4 linked regions of the Sus scrofa genome follow. The protein of the gene in region 2 purifies or fractionates together with the protein of the main gene of each other region. This does not show direct contact. Links are inferred from orthologs where the notes say so. Each region holds a gene or a part of one and is shown on either strand. Other genes may lie near its edges. The genes, in order: BTRC, ELAVL1, TRIM21 and IGF2BP1.

Region 1 (3,562 bases), on a different chromosome or scaffold from region 2:
GTTTATAATGGAAAAAACATTTTATTTTTATTTTGTCTTTTTAGCTATTTCTTGGGCCACTCCCGCGGCACATGGAGGTTCCCAGGCTAGGCCTATGCCAGAGCCACAGCAACGCAGGATCCGAGCCTCGTCTGCAACCTACACCACAGCTCGCGGCAACGCCGGATTGTTAACCCACTGAGCAAGGGCAGGGACCGAACCCGCAACCTCATGGTTCCTAGTCGGATTCGTTAACCACTGCACCATGACAGGAACTCCGGAAAAAACATTTTAATCTACCTAAATGTTCAATAAAGGGGTTAAATAATGTGTTTTAACCATCATAAAGAATATACAATATTATAAAAAATTATGTTTTAGAAGAACCAACACTTAGTAAAATATATTAAGAAAACATAATAAGAAAAAAATATTACAAACACTTAGAAAATGTTACTCAACATTTCCCCCAGCTTTAGGGGAAAATATACACACCTAGAAAGAATGTTAATAGCACATCAGTAGTTCTCTCTGAATGGTAGGGTTCTGGGAAATTTTACTTTTATATTCTAAACTTTTTTGGAGTTTCTAAATTTCCTATAACTTTATTGCTATAATCAGGAAACAACAACTGAAAAAAATAAGAGCAAGATGTGCTACTTTAGAGATTCACTCCTTTTTGTGCAATTTTTCTTTTAAAATAAGCTTTCACCACATGTGAGAACTTGTATCTTCCTGAGACAGCATTTTCCCCAAACACTGATGCCAATGAAGTATCCTACCTCACTATCAAACATTCAGTAAAACAACCACGGCACTTTTCAAATTACTTTCTGTGTGTGTGTATACAGATAATATATATATATATTTAAGTGTGTGTGTATATATATGCACAAATGTATGTATTTTAAAATATACAGTTTAGAATATCTAGTTACTGATCAATGAGGCTATAGAGCAAGACACATCTTGAACCAAATAACACCTAAGACAAGATTTTATTTAAATCTATGTGTGAGTAAAAACAGGGTGAATAGAAGGGATGAGATAGGGAGAAGAGAAGAAAAAGAGAAGTCTCTTTACAGAGTTTGATTTTTGTATTTATATTCCAAGAAGATATGATTGAAATACTGTTTGTAAAAATCAAGCCAATAAAGGTTTTTTAAAAAAGAGAGATGCAGGAGTTCCCAATGTGGCTCAGGAGTAATGAACCCGACTAGCATCCATGAGGTAAGGACGTAGGTTTGATCCCTGGCCCTACTCAGTGGGTTAAGGATCTGGCATTGCCGTGAGCAGTGGTGTAGGTCACAGACATGGCTAGGATCTGGTGTTGCTGTGGCTGTGGCGTAGGCTGGCAGCTATAGCTCTGATTCGACCCCTAGCCTGGGAACTTCCATATGTCGCATCTGTGGCCCTAAAAATACAAAATAATAATAATAAATAAAAAAGAGAGATGTATAGCTGAAAATTCAATATGATTCCCATTGTAACATATCTTCCAGGCAAATTGATGGCTTACAAATACCCGTAGACATACCTGGCAGGGCAGTTATGAAATCCCTCTGCAACATAGGTTTAAGATAGGAGTTTATGTGCCCATGTTGGTAATGACACATTTGGGATATAAGATGTTCCACAAATTCCACTTGATCAGACTCTGACCACTGCTCAAAATATTTGACACACAGTTCCTTTTCCTTCTCATAGCTTGCTGAGAGTTTCCGTTGCTTGGGCACAATCATACTGGAAGTGCCATTGGCAAGTTTTGTCTGTAGGTGAATTAAAAGAAACATTTAAAAGTAAGTATTGGAAATAAGGGAGATATATAATTTTCCAGTCTGGCATGCTCTGTTATGTCTATATGATGGAGCTCACTCTGTTACTCTATTAGTAATTGGATGTTTGTGCACAGCAATAATATGGAAAACCACAGAAATACAACTGTTAAGTTTGTAAATTAGGAATACTGTTCAACGACTAAGCATCCATTTCCAAAAGTTCAGAGGAAAATGTTATTTGGAGACATACAAATGAAAATCAAAAGCTGAAAGTATGTTATAGCAAGCAAAAAAGCTAACTTGCTTTTTCTTGTATACAACAATTACTGGGCATTTATATAACTACTCACGACTTTTTTTTTTTTTCTTTTTTACAGCTGCACTCGAGGCATATGGAAGTTCCCAGGCTAGGGGTCGAATCAGAGATACAGCTGAGGCCTACACCAGAGCCACGGCAATGCTGGATCTGAGCTGCATCTGCAACCTACGCTGCAGCTTGCGGCAATGTCAGATCCTTAACCCACTGAACAAGGCCAGGGGTTGAACATTCATCCTCATGGATGCTATGTCAGGTTCTTAACCCATTGAGCCTCAATGGGAACTCCCACTCACAACTTATTTACCAGTCAAGTAAGAAATCTTCCATGCAAAGAAAAACCAATGAATACTTTGAGACCCTGGTACCTCTGAAGATAAGACTTGAATAACTTCAATGCTCAATATACCCTTTTTAATATACCTTTTTTCTTTTCTTTTCTTTTTTCTTTTTTTTTTTTTTTTGGTCTTTTTGCTATTTCTTTGGGCCGCACCCGCAGCATATGGAGGTTCCCAGGCTAGGGGTCCAATCGGAGCTGTAGCCACTGGCCTATGCCAGAGCCACAGCAACGCGGGATCCGAGCCGCGTCTGCAACCTACACCACAGCTCATGGCAACGCTGGATCCTTAACCCACTGAGCAAGGCAGGCCGAACCGCACCTCATGGTTCCAGCGATCGTTACCACTGGCCACGGGATCCTAATATTTTTTCATATACTTTTTTCCAATATACTTTTAAAAAACTTAAAAAATCCCTCACTGTATTCAATTATACATAATCTTTTATTAGTTGTTCATTCATAATATGTTTTTTGTTTTGCTTGCTTTTAAGCCTCGGCATATGGAGTTCCAGCTAGGGTCGATCGAGTACAGCTGCTGACCTACCCATAGCTCACAGCACGTCGGATCCTTAACCACTGAGCGAGGCCAGGGATTGAACCTGTAACCTCATGGTTCCTAGTTGGATTCATTTCCACTGCGCCACAACGGGAACTCCTCACTCAATAAATATTAATTGAGCATCTGGAATGTGTCAAACACTGTCCTAACCATTAGGAATACAACACTGAACAAAAATAACATAATTGCTACTATCAGTAACTTACACTGTATTATGTACAGCAAGTTAAAAGCATTACCATATAAACAGAAAATATAATACAGACAGATTTTGAGGAAAAATAAAGCAAGATAAAGGGATAGAAAAATAAATGAATGTTTCTGTAACAAGCGAAATCCTAGGATGGTCCCACAAGAAATTCTTGGCCCCAGATATACAAACATCTTCTCTCAGTTTCAAACAAACATGTAGCTAACTGCTATGACTTAAATCAGGACCTTAAGATAGGGAGATTATTCCAGTGGGTATGACCGAATGACATGAGTGCCTTTAAAAGCAGAGAGTTTTTCCAATTGGTTGCAAAAGAGAAGGGGAACACCTGGCAAGGCATTTGATGAGTCTTAGAAGCTGAAAGCAGCTTTCAGCACAG
Region 2 (4,170 bases):
CCTCCATGCCTTTGCCTGTACCGTTCCTGCATCCTGCCAAGTCCTTCCCCACAGTCTTGGCCTGGCTGACTCCTCCCCACCCCTCAAGCTTCACCTCCTCCGGGAAGATTCTGTGATCTCCCTTATGGGGGAACAGTTTCCTTCTCTGTTTCGGGTGGGGAAAAATCAGTCAGCACAGAGCCATTATCACACTCAACAGAGTGAGCTAAAACAATCTATGCAACACCTCGAAATCACCAATGCGCCCCCCCCCCCCCAGAGCCTAGCATGGTGCCTAGGACATAGCATCAGGGCAGAGAAAGTTGGTTAAAGGAGGGAAGCAAAACTAACCTCCCTTCCGTGGTCTGGTTTCCTCTGGTCTTCCCCGACCGAGAGTTCTCCGATCAGCCTCGCTGCATCACTACTGCCACCTTGGGGCGAAAGGAGGCAACTGCACTTCTCTCACCAGCATTTGATTCCATTGAATGAGATGGGGACACAAACGAGGGAAGAAATATTTGCAGTGTGGCCAGAGGAAGTGTGGCAGTCGGAGGAGGCTTCAAATGGTGAGTGAGCTCTGACCTGAGCCACACAGCATGAGAAAGAGATCTCGAGGTGGAGGACAATGGCATTCCAAGCAGTGGGGGCAACAGGTAGAGAAGGGTTGGCGCTTAGGGCTGATGTGCAGGTAAAATCAAAACAGAAGGGAGGATTAGAGTGCAAAAGACCTGGGATCTCAAACTTGAGGTAGCTTTTAAGCCACATAAATAGGTTAAAAAATTATTTTTCCCCACCCGAAGACTCTTAATTGGGAGTAACATAATCAGACCTGCATTAAAAAAAAAAAAAAAAAAAAAGACAACTCTTGCTGGAGTGTGGAAAGATGATAGAGGTGGGAACAGGAGTGAAAGAGGCAAAAGCAAGCATCAAGAAGATGGCATTTTTATAATTCTCCTCTTGTTTTGCACTTTGCTGTCCCATGACCTCAGACTCAACACATCCAAACTGAAATTCTGCCTCCAAATCAGTGCTTCAACATAAACATTTTTTCCACATTTTGAGATGTTCATATAGCTTTGCTTCTTGATGGACCTTGAATTTTGTAACAGATCCCAGCACAGAATCCTGTACACAGAAGATGCTCAATGATAATTCAATGCAATGTCAACTGAGGTCCCCTGGACCCTGCGATTATAACGGCAGTAAAATCCAGTGCCTAAGAGTAAAGACTCCGAATCAGAGGGCCTGAGCTCAACTCCTGCCATCATCACACTTCACTGTGTGAGACTGGTCACATTAAGTGACCCATGCAAGCCTGTTTCTTTGTCCCCAAATAGAAATTACAACGGCACCTACCTCAAGGCTAAAGACAAACAAAAGTCTGTGAGTGTAAAACACCTAGTAAATGCTCACTAAACACTGTCAACTGTTTATAATGTTATATATTCAATGCCTACCAGGCACAGGTCACACACAATGCTGGGGTTTCCCACATCCTTAATATCTGTACAGCAATATTCTCATCCGTCCTGTTTCATAGATAAGAAAACGAAGGCTCCCACAGCTGAATCTGTTCAACGTTTTGGGAGCCTTCCGTTCCAAGGCATCAGAGATGGGGCTAAGGGAACTTTTAGGGTAATATCATTTAGTCCAGTGGTGGTTCTCACATGTGTAAGCGCGCGCGCGCGCGTGTGTGTGTGTGTGTGTGTGTGTGTGAGATACTTTCAGCAACATCTGAAGATATTTTTGATCTTCACAACTAGGGGACATGGATGCTGCTGGCGTCTCGTGGGTAGAGGCCAGGGATGCTACTCAGCATCCTACCATACACAGAACAGCCCTCCCCCACAAACCAAAAATGATCAGATCCCAAATGTCAGTAGCGCCAAGGTTGAAAACCCTTGAATCCTCCTCCCCATCGTCCCACTTCTGGACATTGGTTCTCAGGATTCCACAGGAATACTTTCAGTAAAGGGGAGGGGGCTCTGTTCCTCCAGGGGCAGGGCCTGCAGAAGTTCTTCCCCACATGCCCTACAAACAGTAGGTATTAGAACCCATTTTAATAAGCCTAGCAGCGGAGGACGCCGGAAAAGGAAGAACATCCATCCTCCATTGTTCAACTGCGTGCAGTTTATGTTTTACACACACACACAATTTTACAAACCCAAACGTCCCACGCCTCAAAAACAGCTTTGTTAGAGATGGCGTCCATAAATATATATTTTTCTTCGACCCTCATACATAGTGAAGGGTTTGCACACTTCTAAAAGGACCTCAGATCGGCCGCGGTCCTCTGACAACGACCACAAAAGAATGTATAGGATTTCCCCGGGGAGCGTGCCCGTGGGCCGTGACCTCTGCGCGCTGAAGGCGCTCACCCGACTCCCTCGTCTCTGGCTTCGCTCTCCCGCCCCCGGATAGCCGGCTTGCAAGACTACCCCGGCCCGGCCGTGGAGCCCGGCCGCCAGGCGCGTGCCCACGCCGCGTCCCCCTCTTTCGGCCCTCGCGGCGGCCAAGGAATCCGGCCCGGGGCCTGTCGCCGGCGCCCACAGCGGCCGGCCCTCGCCAGCTCGCCGAGGCCCGTGCGCGTCCCCTCCCAGCCCCGCGCGGCCTGGGCCTCGGCCGGTGCAGGCCCGCGAGCGCCCGCGGCCCGGCCAGGCGAGCTCAGGCCTGCCGCGGCCTACCCCGTCGAGCGCCGCCGAAGGCCCCCGCCTCACCTGGACGCGGGCGGGATGGCCCGGGGCTGCTCCGGGTCGGGCGGGCGGCGGCGGCGCGGCGCTAACGGCTCCGCTCGGCCTCGGTAGCGGTGGCGGCAGCGGCGGCGACGGCGACGGCGGCGGCGGCTCCTCCTCAGCGCGCACGACCCGCTCCGGCCCGCGGCCCGGACACGCCCCCCCGACGCGCGCACCCATTGGCCAGCGTCCGCCACTGCGCGCTTCTCGTTGGCCGGCGTTGCTGTCGCGGCGCCCCGGGGCGCGCGGCGGAGGCGGGACTTCCGGCTGGCGCCGCCTGAGAAGGGCTCGGCGGCAGGCAGAGACGCGGGTGGCCGGCGATGGCCGCGGAGGGGGCCAGTTGGGGCTTGGCCCACGGCGGCCGACGGAAGGCGGTGACCGAAGAGCCGCGCCCTTTATCGGGGGCATTTTGTGTGTCTCGAGCCTATGTGTCCCACCGCCGCCGCGGCCACCGTTACCACCCTACAAGGTAGGAGCGGTCAGTGCACCAGGACTGTAAAGGCAGGACTCGGGTTCGAATCCTGGCCCCAGCGTTTCCGCACTACGTACCCTTGGGCAGGGGCTGACGTCACCTCGGCGGGCCTCAGTTTCCTTATCTGGTGTAATGAGTAGGCGGGGCATGGGATGCCGTCAGCGTTCCATCAGTGTTGCTTATCAGAGCTAGCAGTTTACCCCGATGCTCAGCCTAACACCCATTCATTAAAATTTAATTGAGTGCCTACTACGTGCCAGTCAATGTGTGCACAGTGAACTAGCCAAAATACCTGCCTCTATTTGGTTGACATTCTAGGCTGGCTCTGTCCAAGAGCGGTATAAGCGTACCACAAATGTTAGCCACATGAGTAATTTAACGTTTCTTATAGCCATGCTAGAGGGGGAAAAATAAAAAGAAACAGGAGATGTTAATTTTAATGATGTGTTTTATTGAACCCAATTTATGTCCAAAAAGCTGTTTCAACATGTAACCAATATAAAAAGTTCTGAGATCTTTTTATGTTTTTTTTTTTTTTTCCTTCTTTACGTGCTTTTGAAATCTGGTGTTTTTTTACACTCACAGCGCTTCTGAAGTTGGACTGGCTACGTTTCAAGGGCTCAACAGCGCAGTTGCCAGTGACTACTGTATGAGACCGTGCAGTGCTAGATGAGGAGGCAGAAAAGAAATCAAGTGGATTCCACACACAGTGGTGAAAAGTGGTAAGAGGAAAAGTAAATTGGACAGAGGGCATAGGTGAGGAATGTGGGGATTTCAGTTTGAAAGAGGACTGTTAGGAAGATTGAGACAATAGGATCTGCAGAAGGACCAGAAAGAGTCAAGAACACTGAAAAAATAATCATAGTGTAGTATAGTGTCATGTTTATCCAACAGAACTTTCTCCCATCATGGGCATGCCTTTTAATCAGCAGTGTCTCATTTAATAATCACCAGCTCCATGTGGCTTTTGGGCAGTTGACATGTGGC
Region 3 (4,352 bases), on a different chromosome or scaffold from region 2:
GGGACGTGATGACACGAGATGACCTCTCTTGCCGCCACAGCCTGACTCACCCTTCCCGGGTCCATGAGCTCCTCCCACTGTCTCTAGTTCCTGACCCACTGCTGCCCAAGCCCTGGAGCAGAACAGGCCGTAGCTCCCGCGACACCTTGCACCAGGAACAGCACGCCGTCAAGAAACCCCTGGTCAGGCTGGTTTTCCTCCCTCAGGCCTTGATGGCTCCTTAAGTCTGTCCTCAGAGCCCTTGTCATGTCCCGACAGGCCGAGCCACCGGGCATTCCTTCCTGGGACTCCTCTGTTGCAGACACGGGCCCTGTGCTGTCATCGCCTGAGACCGGGCTCCAGGAACAGGAGCTTTGGGGTCCGTCTTGTCCCCGTGCATTCTCCCCAAGACCCCCTGTCTTTGCGTCTGACTGGAGTGCCCGCCTTTTGGGCACCGTGCTTTCCTGCTCCCTTCTCTCAGGAGACCCAGGGCACGGCTGGTTTTTGGAGACTGACACATGGGGACTCCCAGTCTCCTGACGGGCATAGCTATGCACAGAGCTCTCGAGGCCAGGACCCTGGACCCTCCCCAGGCTTCTGATCTAAAGTGCCCTTCAGGACGTGCCCCTTGCCTTCCAGGCTGCTCTCTTCGTTGCAATATCCGCTTCCAGCTTCTCAGCCTGCTCCTGTTTATTTCTGAGTTTCTCGAGTGCCACCTGGAGCTTCTCCTGCAGAGAAAGACAGCGGGTAATGCCCAGTCAGACCAAAAAGTAGGGTGGGGGGGCACAAGGTCCAGGAGGATCCTACTGGTCCTTAGAAAAGCCTGAGGCGGGGAGGAGGAAGGGTGAGCCTCTGACCGGGGTGGGCATTCTGTGATGGGAAGACTCTGGAAAAAGCCTGATGTTTCTTAGGAAATAGAGGTACCCTGTTGGCGTGGTGGGGGTGGGGACACATTCGTTCCTAATTAACCAGGAGGCCACACAGAAGCATGGGCCTTGCAGCCTTTTCCCACAACAGACGCCCTGCTCCTGGGCAGTGGGAAAATCGTGCCGAGATGGTGGGTCTTCCCTTAAATAGGACATAGAAGGCAGGGGATCCCCTTCCTGTCCCCAACCCCTCAACTCCACAGGTGACTCGGTCCCACCCCCAGCCCGGGAGAACAAAGCGCTTATCAGGGCCCCACCTTCTTCCCGCCTGCTCGTGCCCAGGTGCCTCCGGGCTAAGGCCTCACCTGGTACTCCTGAGCCGCCTCCTCAATGGGGACCATGGTGTGGTCCCGGTGTTTCCGGGACTGGGAACACACCCAGCAAAGGACCTTCCCATCGTCCTTACAGAACAGGTGAAGCTTCTCTCCGTGCACCGCACACAGCTCCCACTGCGGGCCTTCCTTGACCCCCTGGCTCATCTCTTTGAGGTTATCCACCATGTTGGCCACCTGCCGATTGGGCCGGAGGTTCCTGAGCAGGAAGTGCTGCCGGCACACAGGACAGACGCTGCCCCCATCCTTCCCAACCTCGGAGATGCATTCCTGGCAGAAGCTGTGGCCACATTCGATGCTCACGGGCTCCACCATGGGATCCAGGCAGATGGAGCACGTGACCTCATCCCACATCCTTGCCAAGGGCAGTGCTGAGGCCATGGTGCTGCCGGGCTATGAAGCAGCGCTGAGGAGATCTCGGGGTGGCCTAGCGGGGAGGGGAGAAAAGGAAAGAAGGCGATGAGAAGAGCTGTGTGAGGAAAACAGAACAATTCAAAGGAGACCTCGAGGGAGCGTGAACTGGAGGGGCTGAAAACAAAGGTAACAACGACGTCAACCTGAGTCACAAGGGCTTCTCCTCCGGAGTCTGGTCCAATGAGCCAGTCAGACAGAAGGGGAAACTGAGTCCTCAAAAGAGATAGCAAAAATTGCTGGGAATCTGAGATCAAGCTGCTTACAGTTCCACTTTCATGTCTATCTCTGCTGAAACCCTCGGCGCCCAGGCTTACTCGTCCATCTTCCATCTCCAGCCACTGGTCCTCTTGCTCTGCTGAGAAGCTAATCCTAATAGCAGCGACCACTTACCATGCCCCTTCCCCCGTGCCGGGAGGCACATACTTCACATTCCTCCTCATTAATCCCTGAAACTTGGCAGGAAGGAGCTATCTATCACCCACAATATGAACATATAAATAAGTATATATATACACACACATCTGCACGTGCACATATTTATCCATATGTGCAGGTGTACATACCTATGTGTGTACACACACACAGACACACCCACACACCCACACATGTCTAAAGAGCACTCCCCCACCTGTTCCCTCAGCTTCCTGAAGCAGGCACCTGTCTTTGTTTCCTCCAGGGCACAGACCCCAAAACTTCTAATACCCTAAGCAACCCTGCCCCTGTCGTTTCCAGAGGGGACTTTTGTGGATGGGCGTCTCGGGGATGGCAGGCCTACCCCGCCCTGGGCTCCGGAGGACTTGGAAGTCGGTTCACAGCCCAGCCTCCTCCCGGGCGGACGGCAGCACGGGGAAAACCGCCGGTTAGGGTCGAGGGAACCCTGCGCCCAAGAGGGCTCTGGGGCAGCAGAGAGCTCGGCTGCAAGGGGCTCTTCAGATCCGGGGCAGCGGAGAGCGGTCCCCCGGGGAGGCCTGGGGTACCCGGGTCTAACCGAGTTCGTGAATCCACTCACCTTTTCAAGGGACTCCGCAGATAATAGCTGGCTCCAAGTTTCACTTTCGATTTCCCGCATTTCCCGTCGAGCGCAAGTCTGAAAGGAAGGGGAGGGAAGGGGCGGAGGCGGAAGGCGGGAGGCGGGCGCGTTGAGCTTCGGCCAGTGTCAGCGCCCCGGGGCTAGGATGGCTCAGAGGCTCCGCAGCATCCAGTCCTTGCTTTGCGCTCCTTTCCAAGTCTCTCTGTCTAGTGGCCTCAAGTAGTGTGACTGCTCCGTGGAGAGGCTGCTCTCTTTGACTCGGGTGCTTAGCCCCAGCCTCCGTACCGTGCCACCCAGAGCTGCCTTAAGGAGTTTGGGGTGACCGAAGGAGCTCGGGGGAGCTCTCCCACAAAGGCCACCGTCTCTAGGGAGTTCCCTTCATGGCTCAGTGGTTAACCAACCCGACTAGGATCCATGAGGATGTGGGTTCCATCCCTGGCCTCGCTCAGTGCGTTAAGGATCTGACCTTTCGGTGAGCGGTGGTGTAGGTTTCAGGCGCCGCTGGGATCTGGTGTGGCTGTGGCTGTGGTTGAAGGCCGTCCCCTGTAGCTCTTATTTGATCCCTAGCCTGGGAACCTCCATATGCCACAAGTGTGTTCCTGAAAAGCAAAAAAAAAAAAAAAAAAAAAAAAAAGGCCAGTTTCTCTCTCCTACTTCAGGAAAAAATTCTTTTTAGGAGATGCGGTAATTAACATTGGGGAGAGAGGGATTTTTTTCCTGCATTTCTCCAAGGTGGGTATCACACCAGGGAGTGGGACGAAGGGGCCTGACATTTATTGAGCACCAACTGTAAACTTCTCACTGAGCTAGGGGTTTTCTCAGGTTTATTATTATCAATTTTAAAATTTGCAGCAAAATACACATAGCATTCACCATCTTAGCCATTTGTAAGTGTCTAGTTGCGTGGCATTAAATGCATTCACATTATTGTATGACCGTCACACTATCCACACACAGAACTTTGATCTTGCGAAACGTGAACTCTGCCCCCATTAAACAATAGTTTCCCATTCCTCCCTCCCCTCAGCCCCTGGCAACCACCATTCTGTTCTCTGTCTCTGTGAGTTTGACGTTTTCGGTGCCTTACGTAAGTGGCATCCTACCGTATTTGTCCCTTTGTGACTGGTGTATTTCACATAACCTGAGATCCTCAAGGTTCATCCACCGGAGCCGGTGACAGGACTGCCTTCCTTTTAAGGCTGAGCGATATTCCAGCGTCTGAGTATTCATTTTGATTATCCGGTTATCTGTCGACGGATGCTTGGGGTGGGTGGCTTCCGCCTACTGGTTAGGGTTAGGGTTAATACTGCTGTGTCAGGTTGTTTGCTTTAAGCCACGCAGCGACTTAGCAGTTGAGTTATTGTCACAGGAGAGGACACTGAGAATAAAGGGAGTGAGGTGACTTTAAGTGACACGGTAAACCATGGTGCCTGAGAGTTAAAAGTTCAGGGAGGACCCTCGTGTTAGGGACAGCCAGGAGATAACAGGCTGCCTGAGAGTCCAAGCAGAGGTTGTAGGCGCAGCTGATAGGTGTGCTCATGTGCTGTAGAGAAGGAAGATGGTGAGGCTGGAAAAACTCTCACTTCCTTCCTACTCATTTCTTTTGTCCCCATATAAAATAAATATCGGGAGTTCCCGTCGTGGCTCAGCGGTTAATGAATCAGACTAGCA
Region 4 (3,562 bases), on a different chromosome or scaffold from region 2:
GTTAAATAGCTTTTTAAAGATCAGTGCTATTGAGTGGAGCACAGGTTTAAATCCATATCTGTACCAAAAGAAAAAAAAAGGAGTTTAGCTGCTGCCTATTATCCTGCTGTAATTTGTTTGCATACATGTTTCCCCTAATAAATTGTGAGCACCTTGAGACCAGGTAGTTTGCCTTTTTTTTTTTTTTTTTTTTTTTGTCATTTTGCCATTTCTTGGGCCGCTCCCTCGGCATATGGAGGTTCCCAGGCTAGGGGTCAAATTGGAGCTGTAGCCACCAGTCTATGCCAGAGCCACAGCAACACGGGATCTGAGCCTAGTCTGCAACCTACACCTCAGCTCATGGCAACGCCGGATCCTTAACCCCCTGAGCAAGGCCAGGGATCAGACCCACAACCTCAGGGTTCCTAGTCGGATTCATTAACCACTGAGCCATGACGGGAACTCCAGTACTTTGCTTTGTTTATCACTATGTCCCCAGCAGGTAGAACAAAATCCGGCATGAGGTAGGTGCCGATTGAAAAGGTATCAGATAAATGATTCATGGAATAATTTGTGTAGCTAGCTTTGTATTCTTAGAGCCTGTCACACAGTGGGTTATAGACGGTTACTGAGTAAGAGAACTAGTGAGCAACTAAGAGAGATACACAAAGCAGATGGGACGGGGCGGGGGCGGGGGGGCTTTGGTTTTCCTAGCCTATAGGGCCTCTGATTTGGCCTTCCCATCTGCGGTAGCACTGACAGTAAGCAAGCCCCCCCCCACCACCACATCTTCACTCCCAAAGGTTATCATTCTTCAACTCTAAGGCTTTGGGGTTGAGCAGCAGAAAACAGGAAGGTAGACTGGGATAAGGATTAAAACCCACACGGTCATGGGCCCCTAAAAAGCACCCAGAGCTGTCACTGACACTGTTCTCTCTGATTTCAGGAGTCGGAAAATACAGATCCGAAATATTCCACCCCAGCTGCGATGGGAAGTAAGTGATCGGGGGATTCTCGAATCGGTGGTGTGGGGTCATCACAGAGACTGGGAAGGGAGTCTGGGTCAGCCTGCGTTGGCAGAGGTGACGGGGAGGTGTCCTGGTGGCTTGGGGCTGAGGGGAGACTGGCTGGGTCTCAGCCCTAACCTCAGGCTTCTGTGTTTGTTCTGTCCCTGTGGTGAGAGGCCTGACGGAAGTGGGAGGGGCAGTCCCTGAACCCCAAACTTAGTAATGACAAAGGGTAAGTTAGGGACCCGCGTGGCACAATCCGGCTTCCAGAAAGGCGCTTAAATGTCTTCTTGAGCTAAAGTATATTCTGCAAAGAAACCCCAACAGGTCACCACCCGCATGAGTCCCCTAGAAAGGGCAAAGCAAGCAGGTAGCTGCTCCATCCCCACACCAAAGGCGCCGCCTGTGCCCCAGTGCTTGGGGATGAGGGGTGTCCAGTGCTGGCTGTATGAGTTCCTGGGGTGCTCAGAGCAGCTGTGTCCCCTTCTCCCTGCTCCCAGGTACTGGACAGCCTGCTGGCTCAGTATGGAACAGTAGAGAACTGCGAGCAAGGTAAGAGTGGGCAGGGGAGGTAGGGCAGCGATGGAGGGGTGGGTGTTGGAGGAGCGAGGGGGGTGTCTCCCTGCTTCGATTTCTGTTGCCAAGTTTACCTCCTGGAGCACCAAGAGAAGGCAGCTAAAACGTGGTGTGGAGGGAGGCACACCGCAGTGTGAACCGGGACGTGTGGTCCCGGCTTCAGCTCTACTGCTTCTCTCTGGAGCAGGTTTCTCCACTGTTTCATAAGGAAAGCAACGAAGTCACTCATTCCCAGCATGGGGTCCCCAGGCTCCTGGGGCCAACCAAGGAAGAAATAAAGGTCCCAAGAGTTTAGGAATAAAATCCACAAAGAATGGAAATGGTGGAGTTCCCCTGCAGCACAGCGGATTAAGGATCTGGCGTTATTCCCAACTGTAGCTCGGGTCACTGCTGCAGCATGGGTTCGATCCCTGGCCTAGGAACTTCTCAATGCTGCAGGTGTGCCCCCCCGCAACCCAACCAAACCAAACCAAAAACAAACCCCCCAAAGCAGAGAATTTATTAATACATATTGATAGGCAGGCAAAATCTTTCAAGAGTGGGCCCACTGAAAAGAGAAATAATGAAAGAATGTAGATGGAAGTTGTAGATAAAAAGTTTGCTATTACTTTTTATCATTTCTCCACTGCTTAAGATGATAAATTTTTTTCAAAGGAAATGAACTAAAATAAAATCTGGAGTGATTTTGGTTGGACATAAAGTACAGCTTGGTCATGAGGTAGACAAACACAGTTTGAGCCTGCAGATCTTTTAAGAAACCTAGGCCAGGAGTTCCCGTTGTGGTACAGCGGAAACAAAACTGACTAGTATCCATGAGGATTCAGGTTCAATCCCTGGCCTTACTCAGTGGGTCAGAGATCCAGCATTGCTGTGAGCTGTGGTGTAGGTCACAGACACGGCTCGGATCCCACGTGGCTGTGGCTGTGGCTGTGGTGTAGGCCCGGCAGCTGTAGCTGATTAGATCCCTGGTCTGGGTGCTTCCATATGCCTCAGGTGCGGCCCCGAAAAGCAAAAAAAAAAAAAAAAAAAAAAAACAGAAAGAAACTTAGACAAGATTTAAATATTCATTTCCAAACTCTGTGTGGAATGGAGCATGATGTAAACCATTAAAAGTGATTAAAATACTTGCCTGCACGAAGGTATGAAGTGTATAATCAATCAAACGGGTTCTCTTCTGCTTCAATCCCACGCCTTGCCTTTTATCACAACTGGAAGCACTGATAATCATTGTCCAGTCCTGCTCACAGCTTAGACTGGCCACTGAGTTACTCCCCTGACAGAGACTGAGCAATGGCTTGGACACACATGGAGAGCCTCAGTAGGTGGCCCGGAAGGAGTCACCACTGGTTAAAATCCTTCCTAGGCTCACCAGGGAGGGATAACACACGTGTCCGCTTCCCAGATAGAACAGAATAGAAAATGTGTGGGGTGTTTTTTGGGGTTTTTTTTGTTTGTTTGTTTGTTTTTGGTCTTCTTAGGGCCACACTTGAGGCATATGGAAGTTCCCAGGCTAGGGTCAAAGCAGAGCTACAGCTGCTGGCCTCCACCACAGCCACCGCCACGTGGGATTCGAGTCCCGTCTGCAACCTACACTACCGCTCACAGCAAGGCTGGATCCTTAACCCGCTGAGTAAGGCCAGGGATCCGAACCCGAGTCCTCATGGATGCCAGTTGCGCTGAGCTACCGCGGGAACTCCTCAAACGCTGCTTTCTAAGCAAAGCCCTTTCTCTTCACCGTTTATGAAATTGTACCTCTGGCCACCACCTCCTTTACCCTGCTTTGTGTTTTGCTGTAACACTCACCACCTTTTCACTTTGAGGGGGAGAGAATGACTTTTTTTTTTTTTTTTTTTTTGGTCTTTTTGCCATTTCTTGGGCCGCTCCCGCGGCATATGGAGGTTCCCAGGCTAGGGGTCGAATCGGAGCTGTAGCCACCAGCCTACGCCAGAGCCACAGCACCGCGGGATCCGAGCCACGTCTGCAACCTACACCACAGCTCA

The links.
Region 1: the proteins of ELAVL1 (region 2) and BTRC purify together in Homo sapiens (affinity purification with western blotting; 4 studies listed by BioGRID, with this or other methods). This does not show direct contact. The link is inferred for Sus scrofa from reciprocal best matches to the Homo sapiens genes ELAVL1 and BTRC.
Region 3: the proteins of ELAVL1 (region 2) and TRIM21 purify together in Homo sapiens (affinity purification with western blotting; 3 studies listed by BioGRID, with this or other methods). This does not show direct contact. The link is inferred for Sus scrofa from reciprocal best matches to the Homo sapiens genes ELAVL1 and TRIM21.
Region 4: the proteins of ELAVL1 (region 2) and IGF2BP1 purify together in Homo sapiens (co-immunoprecipitation; 3 studies listed by BioGRID and IntAct, with this or other methods). This does not show direct contact. The link is inferred for Sus scrofa from reciprocal best matches to the Homo sapiens genes ELAVL1 and IGF2BP1.

The regions. Positions count from the first base shown.
Region 1 is NC_010456.5:112,552,263-112,555,824, reverse strand, and holds part of BTRC (F-box/WD repeat-containing protein 1A), read right to left. Parts: intron 1,749-3,562; coding exon 1,517-1,748; intron 1-1,516. UniProt on the Homo sapiens protein: Substrate recognition component of a SCF (SKP1-CUL1-F-box protein) E3 ubiquitin-protein ligase complex which mediates the ubiquitination and subsequent proteasomal degradation of target proteins. Recognizes and binds to phosphorylated target proteins.
Region 2 is NC_010444.4:71,205,794-71,209,963, reverse strand, and holds the start of ELAVL1 (ELAV-like protein 1), read right to left. Parts: upstream 2,824-4,170; 5' UTR 2,697-2,823; intron 1-2,696. UniProt on the Homo sapiens protein: RNA-binding protein that binds to the 3'-UTR region of mRNAs and increases their stability.
Region 3 is NC_010451.4:5,780,588-5,784,939, reverse strand, and holds the start of TRIM21 (E3 ubiquitin-protein ligase TRIM21), read right to left. Parts: upstream 2,808-4,352; 5' UTR 2,661-2,807; intron 2,634-2,660; exon of another isoform or gene 2,427-2,633; intron 1,665-2,426; 5' UTR 1,619-1,664; coding exon 1,211-1,618; intron 708-1,210; coding exon 612-707; intron 1-611. UniProt on the Homo sapiens protein: E3 ubiquitin-protein ligase whose activity is dependent on E2 enzymes, UBE2D1, UBE2D2, UBE2E1 and UBE2E2.
Region 4 is NC_010454.4:25,224,410-25,227,971, forward strand, and holds part of IGF2BP1 (insulin-like growth factor 2 mRNA-binding protein 1), read left to right. Parts: intron 1-925; coding exon 926-974; intron 975-1,486; coding exon 1,487-1,538; intron 1,539-3,562. UniProt on the Homo sapiens protein: RNA-binding factor that recruits target transcripts to cytoplasmic protein-RNA complexes (mRNPs). This transcript 'caging' into mRNPs allows mRNA transport and transient storage.